4 linked regions of the Oryzias latipes genome follow. The protein of the gene in region 1 interacts with the protein of each later gene in a pairwise test. Links are inferred from orthologs where the notes say so. Each region holds a gene or a part of one and is shown in the gene's direction. Other genes may lie near its edges. The genes, in order: pnrc2, dcp1a, estrogen-related receptor gamma type 1 and esr1.

Evidence for each region.
Region 2: the proteins of pnrc2 (region 1) and dcp1a interact in binary tests that used the Homo sapiens proteins (3 or more experiments, as listed by UniProt). The link is inferred for Oryzias latipes from reciprocal best matches to the Homo sapiens genes PNRC2 and DCP1A.
Region 3: the proteins of pnrc2 (region 1) and estrogen-related receptor gamma type 1 interact in binary tests that used the Homo sapiens proteins (3 or more experiments, as listed by UniProt). The link is inferred for Oryzias latipes from reciprocal best matches to the Homo sapiens genes PNRC2 and ESRRG.
Region 4: the proteins of pnrc2 (region 1) and esr1 interact in a two-hybrid assay, tested with the Homo sapiens proteins (2 studies listed by BioGRID and IntAct). The link is inferred for Oryzias latipes from reciprocal best matches to the Homo sapiens genes PNRC2 and ESR1.

Annotation. Positions count from the first base shown.
Region 1 is NC_019874.2:24,069,038-24,073,081, forward strand, and holds the start of pnrc2 (proline-rich nuclear receptor coactivator 2), read left to right. Parts: upstream 1-1,221; 5' UTR 1,222-1,424; intron 1,425-1,882; 5' UTR 1,883-2,105; intron 2,106-2,283; 5' UTR 2,284-2,303; coding exon 2,304-2,765; 3' UTR 2,766-4,044. UniProt on the Homo sapiens protein: Involved in nonsense-mediated mRNA decay (NMD) by acting as a bridge between the mRNA decapping complex and the NMD machinery. May act by targeting the NMD machinery to the P-body and recruiting the decapping machinery to aberrant mRNAs.
Region 2 is NC_019865.2:7,306,195-7,308,651, forward strand, and holds part of dcp1a (mRNA-decapping enzyme 1A), read left to right. Parts: intron 1-286; coding exon 287-353; intron 354-532; coding exon 533-671; intron 672-849; coding exon 850-930; intron 931-1,099; coding exon 1,100-1,669; intron 1,670-1,762; coding exon 1,763-1,987; intron 1,988-2,457. UniProt on the Homo sapiens protein: Necessary for the degradation of mRNAs, both in normal mRNA turnover and in nonsense-mediated mRNA decay. Removes the 7-methyl guanine cap structure from mRNA molecules, yielding a 5'-phosphorylated mRNA fragment and 7m-GDP.
Region 3 is NC_019861.2:25,250,148-25,253,715, reverse strand, and holds part of estrogen-related receptor gamma type 1, read left to right. Parts: intron 1-1,520; coding exon 1,521-1,627; intron 1,628-1,700; coding exon 1,701-1,863; intron 1,864-3,568. UniProt on the Homo sapiens protein: Orphan receptor that acts as a transcription activator in the absence of bound ligand. Binds specifically to an estrogen response element and activates reporter genes controlled by estrogen response elements.
Region 4 is NC_019882.2:8,941,091-8,945,305, forward strand, and holds the start of esr1 (estrogen receptor), read left to right. Parts: upstream 1-1,365; 5' UTR 1,366-1,469; coding exon 1,470-1,480; intron 1,481-2,110; coding exon 2,111-2,530; intron 2,531-3,158; coding exon 3,159-3,373; intron 3,374-3,806; coding exon 3,807-3,923; intron 3,924-4,215.

The DNA of each region.
Region 1 (4,044 bases):
ATAAGTATAAGACAAAAAGAAGAAAAAGAAAAGATGAAACTGTACGTGTTTAAAGTGGAGTGAGCTGTGTTAGAAAAAATAAATAATAAAAGGACCAAAATCTATTTATTATATACATATTTAAAAAGTAGCCTTCTTTTTAACCCTTGTGCTATCTTAAATAACCCCACCCTTACATTGACGTGTAATTCCTACCATGACAAAGGTGGATAAAGGTGGAAAGATTTCATGTAATCCATGGACACCAGTGAAGATCACAAATTGTTGAAGAAAAAAGGTTCAGAGCACTGTCTAGTGGGTCTAGATGACCCAACTCCCAATGTTAAATTGCCTAGGATAGCACAAGGGTTACATAAACTTTTGTCTTTGTTAATTGTACAATACGTAAAACTTTCCAAAGATTACGAGATAGAGGAAAGTTCAGTAATTCTAGAAAATGTTTTCCTACTTTAAACAAAAGCAAGACAAACAAAAAATCGAAATCAATGTGACCTGTCCTTAGCTTCCTCAGAGTAAAAACACAGACACGAACTTCTTTGTTTGGCTTTTAACTGCCTCTTTGTGTGGTATTTCCCCCTGTGTTTGTAAAAAAAAAAGAAAACGTACAGGTTACTGTTTTGGTCAAAACTGTGGCAGTGTTACCACGTGCACTTTGTTGACAAACATGCTAAAGTGAGGATTTTCAGTAAAAGAACAGCAGCTTGTTTTGTGACCACGCAACACAGATGGGGGATGGGCTACGTGATGGTGAAACAAAAGCTGAAACGCCTAGTTTCAGTTAATAAAGCAGCGTAAAAGCGAAACGTTTTTCAGAAATGGGCATGTTGTGACCTGTAGACATTAGAATCTCCCTGAGAAAAAACAAATAAATGGAAAGTATTACGCCACAACACACAGCATTACATAACATACATGTCGACTCGATATAATGTTATGCTGATTGTCATGCTGTGCATTTTTTCAGGACTCTTTCTTAAAAATACAGAGTGAAAACAAATTAATTTATCGGAAGCGTTTGTTTAGTTTAATTCCTCACTTCTCTCAGGAAATACCCGAACCATCTCCACCAAAGGAAATGGGAGGAAGTGTGGTTGACGTCACCCGTCTGGCAACAGGCATGACTGCGTAGGTTTGCCTACACGCTGATTGGTCACCTAACTCGTACTCGAGAGGTGATTGGTTCGATTTCTGCGAGAACAGACTACTTATCTCCTTGGCAGAGTCCATTTTGTTGCAATCGAGTGTCGGGAGGAGAAGTGGCGGTTATACGCCTCATGATAAAACCACCTTAGCCTCGACGGTGATGGGTTTGTAGGAAAAATAGCTTGCTTTGCTTCCTACATTGTCCGCCGAAGGATTCCAGAGGCTAAACTTGTATATTTTTTGACAAAAGGCTTTTCAACAACCAAGCCTTAAAGAAGTCGGTAAGGATAAAACTCAGATTCTAGTACCTCGGCTCGTCGCCATATTGAGTAGCTTCTTTGTTTTGGTTCGATGCCAAAGAGTGACACAGTATCGTAAAAGTACTTTTCTAGTCGTCTCGATGAAACAAGTATGTTATCTAATAACGTTTACATTTTTTTGTTATGTTATCGAATAAAACCATTTAAGCTTATGTTAAAATACATATACCGTTGTGACTATTATGTAATATGTGTGTAATGGAAAATGGATTTTATGGTTTATAAATGAGTTCAAAGCTAATTATAAGCTAGTTTTGGTAGTTTGTGTGTTGTGTAATGACGCAGTTTCTTACACGCCCATCCCCCGTCATTTTTTTCAAATCGAGTAAGACAGAAAATAATTTTAAAGTATTCTCATAGTCGCTTTCATTAGCACATTGTATCGTTACTCACTAATCCGCTTTTGTTTTCGCTTTTAGGAGCTCGACTTCGCGGAACAATCGTGTGCCGGGGTGAATTGATGTTCAGCTCGGCTTCACGGGAAAACATCGCTCATCATTGGCACATGAAAACCTCAGACCTTGCTGGACATAAATGTGCAGCGAGAAGTAGGCAGAAAACTACTTCGAGGACCTGGGGACCGACTGGTGGAGAGAGATTAAAGAAGGATCTCTGCTTCGTCAACATACTACCAGCAAAGAGGTGAGCTGGGTCTGTTTTTCTGCCGAGTGGGGGAGGGGCGTCGCTGCCCTGTCTGGCTGTTGTTTCTGCACGTAGCGCCTCAGCTTGTTTTTGTTCGAACTGAGCATGCGCAGTAGGCGCTTGTCATTGCACGAATATTTTTTCCTGAGTTAAGACTTAAATATGTTTACTCCTGTAGGTGACACATAGTACAGAAACATGGGAGGTGGCGAGAGGTACAACATTCCAATTTCCCACCCTGAAAGGCAAAAGAAGAACCAGCTTGTCAAGGCCAAACAGAGAAGCCGTGACCAGAATGGAGTCGCTGTCTCAGCAGGAGGATTAGGGGGCCTTCACAATCATGGCCACCGTAGGAGCGACAAAGGCGCAGCCTACCACAGGTCTCCGGAGGCGCGGCAGGCCGTGTCTGCAGACAAAAATGCCTCCATGCGTTTTGGCACCAACTACGATCAGAACTGGGAGGGTGCAGTGTCTCACCTCAACACACTCCTGGCCGCCCAGGGCAGCCCCAGCTATGCAGGGCCCAAGTTCAGTGAGCCACCATCACCCAGTGTGCTGCCCAAGCCCCCAAGCCACTGGGTTTCTTTTCCGTCAAGCTCCTTTGATCACAGGGAGATGATGGCTTTCCAGCTCAAGAGTCTACTGAAAGTGCAGGCCTGAGCTACGTCCACACTTCACTTAAAGAGCCAATATACAGACTGCGACCCTATTGAGGTGCTCATCTGCTTGGAATGCTTCAGAGCTGTAATACATTTGGATTTTTGGCTGAAATATTTGCAAAAGAGGCTTACTCGTGTTTAAATTTTTAATGGAATTTTTAATTACAGCTCTGCTGCCTTACTTGTCGGTGCAGTCCTTAATGGAGTCCATTTCTGTAATCTGTTAACTGGATTAAATGTACTTTTAGTTTTGTTGTTAGTGTTTGCTGTAAAAGCCAACAGAGTGAACCTTTTTCCACATAAGAAAACAGGGCTTGTAACATCCGTTAAGTAACAGTCCATTACTTTTATAGTCCATTTCTGTGGACAGACGCCTTTCATTCGTACAGGTTTTAACGACGAACATTTGGAGTGAACTCAAACGCTTCAGGTGCTAAATAACATGAACATTTGTAGCATTTTTTTTAAAGGGCCCCGTAATTTTCTTGATGGTTACATTCCTTGTTTGGAATAAAGACACTCAATAGTTCTGCAGGAGAAAAAAAAGCTATTTTGAGATAAGTGAGGAAGGAAGAGGTGGCCTCAAAGGGTAAGAGACAATGGCACATGGGCCGTAGACCCCAAACTCCTGTATCCTTTCTTTACTGCGCTGTGCGCACATGCACTATGGGAGTTTGGCGTGCCTAAGGTCTGCAACACTCTTATCAAAGCATTATTTTACTTTTGTTTTGGTTGAAAACCGTTTTAATCTCTGTAACCAAAGCAATGTGTTGCTGTATTTCGTTCTTTATCAACAACCTTGTGGCTTTTTTTCCTCCTAACTTCTTGTTTTTTGCCAGCCCCGTTGGTGAATGAGATACAGTCACTTGGCTACTTTCTGTTCCAATCAGTACTGTTACTGCCTTTAAGCTTCAGGTCTTGTCAGCGCAAGGCATGCTTCTAAACCTGCGGAAGAGGACCATGTCATTGACTTGTCCTGTTTGGCTGCATGCCTTAGCTTGGGACGAGGTGAGCTAAGGAGGTTTATTTTGGAGAAGTGGCTTCAGGGGTCCAACGTTAGACGGTCTTTGTGTTTACAAATTCTGCCTCAGAGACTGACTGTTCATGGAAGTGTTGTTGCCTGTCTTTTGTCTAACCCCTTGCACTGCAATCAGACTCTTACCCACAAGCAGCAGAGACGATTTTGTTGACTTTGTGATGCAAAAGGACTTTGATTCTTGTTTTTTTGTGCTTCGGACCTCACTTTAGGATCTTTTTTCCTTTGCAGAATGGAAGGTTTT
Region 2 (2,457 bases), on another chromosome or scaffold:
AGTAGTAGTTTGATCTGTGCGATCAAAGTCCTTTCATAAACTTCAGTTTTTAGTTTTCCACATCTGGTTCTTGGAAGAATTCTGTGAACTTCTTTTATTCTATCAGTTTTTTTACCCATTTTATTCAAACAGATGTTTAAACTTTAGGATTATTAAGTAAGCTTTAATATTTGATCTTGTTGTTGTTGAGAACTAATGATTAAATTAATCATTCACAGCCTTTTGGGGTTATTTTTTTGCATTACTGCTTTACCTAACAGAATGTCTGTTTCTATATTTCTTCTAGTGGGCATCTACAGTATTTGGTTCTATGACAAGAGGGACTGTCGGCGCATAGCTCAGCTGATGCTCAAGTAAGTGAGCTGAAATGTACCCAATAAGTTAGTTTATTAATGAGGTAAAACTGTAGGTGAATTCAAAATCCTATTTGCATTAGTATTTCAGACGTGTAAATGTACCAAGGAACCAAATGAAAAGTTTGAAATGATACAAACAGTGCTGTACGGGACGTTTATAGTTGAGTCTCTTTCAGGATCGTGAAACAGGAAGCAGACCATGCTCAGAGAAAGACCCCAGAGAGGACGGAGGCCGCAAGAACCAATGGGATCACCGAAACGAAACCTATTGACATCCTGGAGCTGCTTAGCAAGGCCAAGGAGGAATACCAAAGAGTAATTACAAATAAAGTCTTACTCTGTTTCACCTTTAACTTAACTTTCATTTTTAAAATGTCGACTACTTTGTTTTAAGTGGTCTTCTTGGGGTGTTATTTTTAGTTCTAGTGGACTTTAACGGGTAAGATGAGGCCAATTTTAACTGCATTTTGCTTGATTTTCAAATGTGACGAAGGCCCAGGCAGGGGAATCGGAGATGTCTGTTGACACAAGTGTTAAAGTGGAACATCCACACAGAGCAGCGTCACCCGAAAAGGTATGTGCATCGCACAGGCTTAGTGAGAACCGTAAGTAAGTGAGATTTTGGGACCACAAGCCATTTGACATTTGGGTGATCAGTAAACTGAAAGCACATCTATCTTCATTAGTTCTGTGTCGGTCAGTTGATTGCTTGGTTAACAGAGTTGCTCTCCTGCTCTCATCAGAGTTCTCATACAGTGGTGAAGCAGATCACAGTTGAAGAACTCTTTGGATCGTCTCTGCCTAAGGAAACCTCTCTCTTCAACAAAGCTGCGCAGGAATCCACTTCTTCCAGTGACCTCCCTGCTTTTGTGCAGAAACCAGCGTATCCTGTTTCAGTTCATCAAAGTCCGCTCCTCACAGGCCACGATCCCGGGTCACGCCGGCAACAACAAGCCCCTAATCTAATCCCTTCTCCTTATGCAATGAACCCCGGTCCGGTTTTACAGCATGTGGTCCCACGGCCCGATTCTCAATCCCACTGTTCGGTCCCTCCTCTGATGATGCCTTCAGCTGGTTCGGAGCACCTCGCTGCATCGTCTGGTCTGACCGACCCTGCAACGCCTTCCACAGCCTTTTTGAGAAAGGAAATACTGGATTCAATCAAACCTGTGATCCCTTCTATGAATTCAGACGTCCACAAGCCCATGCTTGCACCCAACTTCATCCCAAACACTTTGGTTCCACCCCACAGCTTCCAGGAACACAACATGGACTTTTTCTCTAAGCCTCCAAACCTCATTAAGCCCATGTCTGTAAGTCCCGATTTGTTTGCTAAACTCATCAATGAGTCTTCTCTACCTTTCTCCCCTCAACATACAAGCAGAGAGCTGTCTTTGTGTTTGCAGACTCTCCCCATGAGTCCAGGTCCAGCCGTTCCAGGGTCAGAGATCTCAGTGCTTCTCTCTCCGAGTGTTTTCCAGCAGAATGTCAATAAAAACCCCTCAACAGCAGCGCCAGCGGTCCCTCCTGCGGCCTCTGAGCCGTCTTCAGCATCTGGAGGAGCTTTAGATTCTCTCCCAACCGCCTGCAGTAGAACTCAGCTCCAGGAGACTTTGATTCATCTCATCAAGGTAACCCAGTGGTATTTGACAGAAAGTGTGATGTTGGGAGGGTCAGAACCTTCTCCTGTATCACACGGTGATAAAAAAAATATTGGAGAATGTTACAGGAAAGCTTTAGTTCCTGTTAGATTAAAAAAAAAGAATAATAACTTTTTGATTATTATTAATTTTTTTTCAAAAATGTCTGGACTTTCACCGTACTTACTTCCAGCTCCAATGAAATGAAGTGGCCATTTTTTCACGATGTGGACGCTGCCATGTTGAAGCCAGACAATGTCAGTAAGAAGCGATTGGTCTTAGTCAGCGTTTCTATGCCAACCACTCTCACCAATCAAGAGTGAGCTTGTTGGAAGTCCACACCCCTACCACTTGAAAGCAGGATGGGCTTCATGAAAACCGTCAAATGTTTGGAACGTTAGACGCGGGGGCCAGTAAGCACCACACTTTATTGAGGCATTTGATTGGCCTTATATAACTTG
Region 3 (3,568 bases), on another chromosome or scaffold:
GTACTTTTGGATTAAATGCATCACTGAGCCCTTAAAATTAAAAAGACTATATACATTTAGAATACATAACAAGGGACATCACTATACAGCATTACTCCTTACCAATGTTTTGTCCTCACTTACCCTCCAGGCTGAACAGTATCAATAAGTACCCACGTGATAATTATAGCTATGTCAGTATACATTTTCCTGTCAACTATGAGTGGTGCAATCCTATAGAGCTCAAAACCCCATCGCTCCTGTGACCAAAGTGTGTGTTTATGTGTAATAAAGAGCTCCTTAAGAAATTCACGTCTAATCATTTTTGATTATTTCATTGTCCAAAAAAAAGACTGCCAGTTGGCAACAACTCTGGCATCTTCACTTTACCATGTGTGTATTTTTGTGTGTCATCGAACCAATTTAGATACATTCCAGTAAATTCCTAAGAATTTATATTTATTTATAAATGTGGTAATATCTGTGTACATGCTTAAGCAAGAAATCTTACCTAATGAGTATGTACCGTGAATGTGTATTGGAGATTGTTAACGGTATAAGATAAAATAAATTAGTGCGCATTGCAAACAACAATAGCTTGCAACTTGGACATAATTAGACGTCTGCCATTACCTGTCAACACATTTTGAGATAAGAGGTCTTAATGCACATGTAGGACTTGCCACACATCTTAAGAGGAGACACTTTGCCGCAGATGTTGTGGGAGAAATATCTTCTCTCTCTCATCTATCTGCCTCTTCTGGCAGAATGTTCCTCACACAAACACATACTGAAGAACCTCTGCAAGGTCTGACAGGTGTGCTTGCACGGCCCACTGTCTTTGCATTTTTAAACACATGGCCCGTGTGGCTGTTAAGGATTGCACTCAGACACACATATGGGCAGGCAGGCAGGTGTGAATGGACAGGTGTGCGAGCAGAGGACAGCTGTGAGGAGAGGTGTGAGTGGGCAGGTGTTCCATTAAAGAAACAGGAAGGTAAAGATGGACAATATATGTGAGAGTCGCAATAAAGTGATCCAAGTGAAAAAAAAGTAATTTTTTTAGATTTAAAAAATAAGACAAGAATTATAGATAGAGTTATAGATTGCGACTGAAGGAAAAGTCTGATAAGCAAATGGAAGGACATGGATTGACACCAAAGAAACCAGTAGGTTTAAGGCCATAGGAGAAATGAGTGTGTGTTTTCTAAGAGCGCAGCAGCAATGGCCAGCATTGATTCATGGAGGTTTGGCAGAAGGAGATAAGGCCTGCTTCCCTCAGAGAATAGCCCAGGGCACATGGGAGAGCGGAAAGAAGCAGACAGAGGAGAAGGACTCTGGTCAGGTGGATGGATGAGAGGTGGGAGGGGAAAGAGAGAAGTCGACCTTGACCCCCTTACTTGCTTTGGAACAAGCTTTACTGTTTTCTTTGTCTTGTTTTTTACCCAGAGTAAAGAAATGCCCCCTATTTACCAGTTTGCTTCTTGTTGAATGCATAAATTAATAATGCCTGTCCTTTGCTCTCTTTCTCTCTTTCTCAGGTTTCTCCACACTGTCTTTGGCAGACCAGATGAGTCTACTGCAGAGTGCATGGATGGAGATCTTGATCCTGCGTGTTGTGTATCGCTCGCTGTCATTTGAAGACAAAGTAGGTTTCTTTTGAACTTTATGCAAGTCCTAGTTTGATCTGCAAACTCAACTTGTCTCCAATATTCCTTTAGCTGGTGTATGCTGAGGATTACATAATGGATGAGGATCAGTCTAAACTAGCCGGACTGCTGGACCTAAACAACGCCATCCTTCAGCTGGTCAAGAAATACAAATCCATGAAGCTAGAGAAAGAGGAATTTGTCACTTTAAAGGCCATTGCTTTGGCTAATTCAGGTTTGAAACTCTTCACTCTCAGCTGTTTTTGTCCGTGCGTGCTTGTGTTTGACTGATAGAGGAGAGTTAATCCTAGGAATCTCCAATCCCGTGGGGCTCATTTAAGCTGAGCCATCAGAAGACTGATTTCAGTAGTCTGCATCCACACACGCTCTCAGAAGCTTCTACAGCACAGTAAATATTGATGGAAATATTTTAACAGCTCAAACAGTTCTCTTTCTTTTTATTTCCCTTTGAATGCAAGGATGCGGTACAAACATGCAGGAACACATTCAATCTGAATCCCACCCCCAAACAAAGCGGCAGTCCCTTTTAAAATTAACATAGCCGTCCCTTTAGATGCCTGTTAAATAAGGAGAAATCATTAGATCCCAAAACCTGTCGATACAAGCCGCTCTGTGATGTGTCCAGCTGCATTGACAGCTGACTGACACGCAGTCCCTCACACACACACCTACTCTTCCTCTCATGACCCGTCTTTTGAACTTTGTCTTGGAAGCCAGCCAGCTCTTCAGTACTCTTTAATTACAAGGGGGGAGCTGTCAATACAATGTGTTTAAATGGAAGAATGCAATACGAGATTTTAATGGGAAGGGAGAAGCTTTTCATTCTGCTGCCACCACCACCAGCATAATGTCAGTCATCACATGTGGAGGACTGGGACTGTAATTTTGAACAAATTTGAAACAAAACAATCACTTAATTTGGCTTTTATTTCGAACTTCACTATCATTTATGTTCTGAGAAAAGGAAATTAATTTTATTGAAACTGTACTTTCATATTTTATATAAAGAAATAAAAATAAGAATTGAAAAGGATACAGAAAATACACAGTTCATTCATCTTACTACACAAATACACTTAAAAAAACTTCATGTAAATTAGTGAAATTGACATGTAGCTGAACTACTCTGCATTTAAACTGCTTTACCTTCTAAGTGATTAAATCAAAACAACTAAAGCCTAAATGCAGCGCAAACCATGTAACCCACTCAGCTGGCTTTTCAAGACAACAGAATGCTAGCATTAGCATTTTGAAGGGCACTGACACTAATTAATTCACAGGATGCTAATCGTCTGCATTAATGAAGCCAAGCCTTAAGAAATGTTAGAAAACGTGCCCCACATGTAAAGAAAGTTAAACTAACCATGGGAAACGGGAGGTGTGTGCTTGTTTTTGTGCATGTGAGTTTATGCACGCTGCTCTGTTAGCATGTGTGCTTTAACAGTCTGACATGCTTGTGCTCATTAGTGTTCTGCTGTTTAACTCATGACAGTTCAGTGAATTTCAAAACAGACCAAAGACATTTCTACCAGTTTAAACCCACAACAAATAAACAACAGGTGGATTTTATTTACCGCGGCTTAACCTTCCCTCCCTGCGCAGAAAACCACCCTAGAGTGAAAAAAGAAAATCAATAGATTTTATTTAATCTGTTTATTACAATATACTTTTTTTTTTCTTTCGCTCTTAGCATCTCACTTCATCAAGCACAGTGTGAAAAAAAAACAACAACCAGGAAATTTAAAAACAAATGAAAGCTGAGTTATTTATTGATCCCCTCAGAATCCAGCCCACTAACCAGCCTGGTCCTGCATACTGATACATGCATTACACTGTATAGATCTGTTTGATGCCATTGTGTGTGTTAGTTTGCACATCTATGTCCGAGCTACCATGTTGACATATTTCATTTTAGTTGT
Region 4 (4,215 bases), on another chromosome or scaffold:
AAACTAGAGATTAAAAGTTGGCAAAGAAGAACTGAAAACATGGCAGCATTATCTAGAATGGCGAAAAACATTCCAAATATTTACACAAGTCTGATCACTTGCAGTAAAGTGAATCTAAAGACTTCAGTAATGCCAAATGCTCAAACAGGAGCTCCGATTTGATCAATAAAAGAAAAGTTTCTGAAGTTTTTTAAACCCATATTCCGATTTTATCTTGCTGCTGGATTTTTTTTATTATGAAGGCAGATTTGCCTGAAAGTTTGATTTCAAAGTAAAGATCAGAGGAAGGTTTGGGTGTTGATTTTTAATCTGAATGGTTTGGATTAAAGCTTTAAATCTCCCTGGCCAAAATCTGGAGTCCATCCTGACGCCTGTCTGCGCTCAAATAAAACACACACTTGTAATAAACCTGAACAGATGAAAAAGGTAATAAATAGATGAAACTAAGAGTGGGGCATCTTGTCTTTATTTTTCTGCTCTCGCATGTTGACCTGTTGCATTCAGGTCAGGTCGGACTTTAAAAACCTGTAAACGAAACAGTTGGAAATGCTGCAACATGTGCATTACAATTCTGAATGAACGAGGGGTATAATTGTCGTACTTTGTGAAGGTGGTCCGTCACGAAAATGAGGTCAATTATTCTAAGAGGCGTGCTAAAGCCATTTTTGGTGATTTGCTGGATACGTTTGCTTCCCAACCAGTCATTTTTTGCTGTTTCCTGGTGTTGCTGTCATCAATTTTATTCTAGGAAAAATGCAAAATGATCCATATCATCATCAAGACTACTTGTTTCCCACTTGACCCCAACATGTCTTGAAAATTGGGCTGTTTGTTCAAGAAAGAGTCCGGACAGGAACGAGGAGGAGGGCTTTTGTTCCCCCCTTCAGCAGTCGAGCATGCTCATGTTTATTCTAACATATAAGAAGATCATATCTTGATAAAATCAGCTTTATTTTAGCCCCCCCCCCCATTTTTATGTTAATATTATTCAAATCTAATTTTCCTGGAAGAATTTCAAGTCCATTTTTCTTTCCTAGTAATTCAAGTACACACAAAAAAAACTTTAAAGTGTAAATACTATTTTTTTCCAGAAATCTATGGCATCAGCAATTTGGCTTTAGTGGAAATGTTTTGCCACTTCCCCTTTGACCAAACCTTTTTTTTTGTGTTTATTATCTTTTTTTCCTCTTTTTCTGCATTTAAAATCCCCATTAATTTCCTTATTTGGAATTGATTGTGTAATTGTTGGCTGTCAGATTGAGATTTGACCCCCTGCTTTGTTTGCTGTGTTATGGTGACCTGGCACTTAAACACACCATGGTTATTGATTTGGCTGCATCTTTAATTTGTTTATCCTTTTTCAAACCTTTCCACTGGTTCCACCGAAGCTGCCCGTCTCGCTGCTAGATGCCTGTCAGGCAGGCAGAGAGGAAGCAGCCCGTGTTGCGCAGCACATCTGAGGATGATTCATGAGTAAGAGGTGAGTGGTGTCTCATGCTTGATTTTGCAGTTCTTCTTTTCTTTTTTTTCTTTTTTAAGCCTTTTTGTTTCAAAGCATCCCTGCTTTTATTTACCCAGTAATTAGGTTGAGTGCAGTCTTGGTTGTGTTTTGGCCATCTCACCACTAACGCCGCATCCTCTGCTAATAAAAGCTGATTATTCAGAGTCGCTCTGTTGGTTTGTAGTTTCTGGAAACCACACGACAGCCGGGGAAAGCTTTGCTTTAGACAAACGAGGTGGAAGGAGACAGGGAAGTTTAGGAATAACTATTCCCTGACATTCCTTTCTTTTCCTCTCTCTCCCACTTGTGACTCCCACACTTGAGTGTAAACATATTGGAGGAAATACTGAGAGACAAAACCAGCAGATTGGGAGGAGTCCTTTTCGTTATTTTTGGTGAGCTGAAGCTTTAGGGAGACGAGGAAAAAGGATCTTCTGGTCCCTCCAAGTAGTCTGACAGGCATTAATAGAAAGATGAGCCCCACACAGAGAGAAAGGGAAGACTAAAAAGAGAGAGGGAGAGGAGAACTCCACTCCCCCTCCCAGCAAATGGGAGAACAAGTCTAAATCATGCTTCTTATCGCCGCTGTTGTGCTGTGATGTTGCTCAGACAGAGCTCGGTGCAGATCAGGCAGCTGTTCGGACCAGCACTCAGATCCAGGATCAGCCCAGCCTCCTCAGAGCTGGAGACCCTCTCCCCACCTCGCCTCTCGCCCCGTGACCCCCTCGGTGACATGTACCCTGAAGAGAGCCGGGGTTCTGGAGGGGTGGCTGCTGTGGACTTTTTGGAAGGGACGTACGACTATGCCGCCCCCAACCCTGCCACGACTCCCCTTTACAGCCAGTCCAGCACCGGCTACTACTCTGCTCCCCTGGAAACAAACGGACCCCCCTCAGAAGGCAGTCTGCAGTCCCTGGGCAGTGGGCCGACGAGCCCTCTGGTGTTTGTGCCCTCCAGCCCCAGACTCAGTCCCTTTATGCATCCACCCAGCCACCACTATCTGGAAACCACTTCCACGCCCGTTTACAGGTAAGTGAGGGCAGTTTAGCTCCGAATGAGTCATGAAAGTGGACAAATGAGGGGGAGAGGTCTGTGTTTCAGCCTCTGCTGATTCATCCAACTGTTTGTTTAGGCAGACTGAGTTAAAAGGAAGTACTGAATTCCAAAAAATGATTATTATTTTGCTTTGTTTAATTACAAAAATCAAGGAGTTTGGGTGTTTTTCACCCACTGTCACACATGAGGAGCAGCCTTGGCGGAAAACTAGATATTTTACAATTTATGGCAATGACATTTAAAGTTGAGTCTTCCAAGTGCTTTTATAAACAAAACATTATTACATAATGACACAACCTTTTAATCTTCCACTTTATACAAAACACACAACTTTATCTTTTCGTAAAGGATCAAGCTTGGTCCTGCTTTCTAAATCCAGAGATTAAGGACTTTGTCAGAGACCTTGAGAGAGGAACAATACGTAAGAACAACAGAGGCTCACATGAATTTTGTTTTTCTGGTTCCGGTGGAAAACACAAGTCTGTTTTTGCACTTTCATATTTTTAGTCAGAATGTTCTTGATCATCTTTTGGCAAATTCTGTCCTTTATTAGCACCACAGAACCAGAAATGGTCAGATTAAGATTCACAACCTGTTGCAGATCCAGCCACCAGGGAGCCTCCAGGGAGGACCAGTGCGGCTCCCGGGAGGACACGTGCAGCCTGGGGGAGTTAGGCGCCGGAGCCGGGGCTGGGGGGTTTGAGATGGCCAAAGACACGCGTTTCTGCGCCGTGTGCAGCGACTACGCCTCTGGGTACCACTATGGGGTGTGGTCTTGTGAGGGCTGCAAGGCCTTCTTCAAGAGGAGCATCCAGGGTAGGAAGCCACACTAAAAAGTCTTCTGGATTTAGAAAACTGTCAAAAATGTCAAATCAGTCTGATCTGAAAAATTCTCAATTATACTTTGATAATCATCATAAATTGTGATATCGTAGAAATGACTAGTCTTAAATCAAAAGAATTGATGAGCGCACATTTAAGCCTTTGTGGTTAGTTTTTGGATCACAACAGTTGAAGAGAAAAGCTCCATCTGCTTGATGGTTCAGTCATGTTCACGATATAATTGTGTAATGAAGGATCAGTCAGAAGGTTACAAAATGTTTCCATGGCAATAGAAAAGCTAAGATGCCACATTTTCATCTTCTCCTCCCCAGATTCTTTTATCAGTGTTCCTGGCTACTAAATAACCTAAATCTAAACTGAACATTGGACTTGAAGGCTGAAAGTAATATATTTTTCTCCATTTCAGGTCACAATGACTATATGTGCCCAGCGACCAATCAGTGCACTATTGACAGAAATCGGAGGAAGAGCTGCCAGGCTTGTCGTCTTAGGAAGTGTTACGAAGTGGGAATGATGAAAGGCGGTGAGCACTAACTTCACCTGACAAGAGATTTTCCCGCCTCAGCTTTTTTGTTCCCATCATTTACCATTTTCTACATGAAAGCGGCCCTCAATATTTGTTTTTCTGCAACGCACACTCCGCAAGGGTGCAGATAAACTTGAACTTTAGCACGTCCCTGAAGATATTTACATCTCAGAAGTACAACTAATTATTACACATCCTGTTTGTTTTGGTGCCTCTCAGATAAGGGCATCTAAGTGTGCGGATGAAAATGCATGGATTTGTGTCTGGCTTGGTTTGTTTACATCTGCCA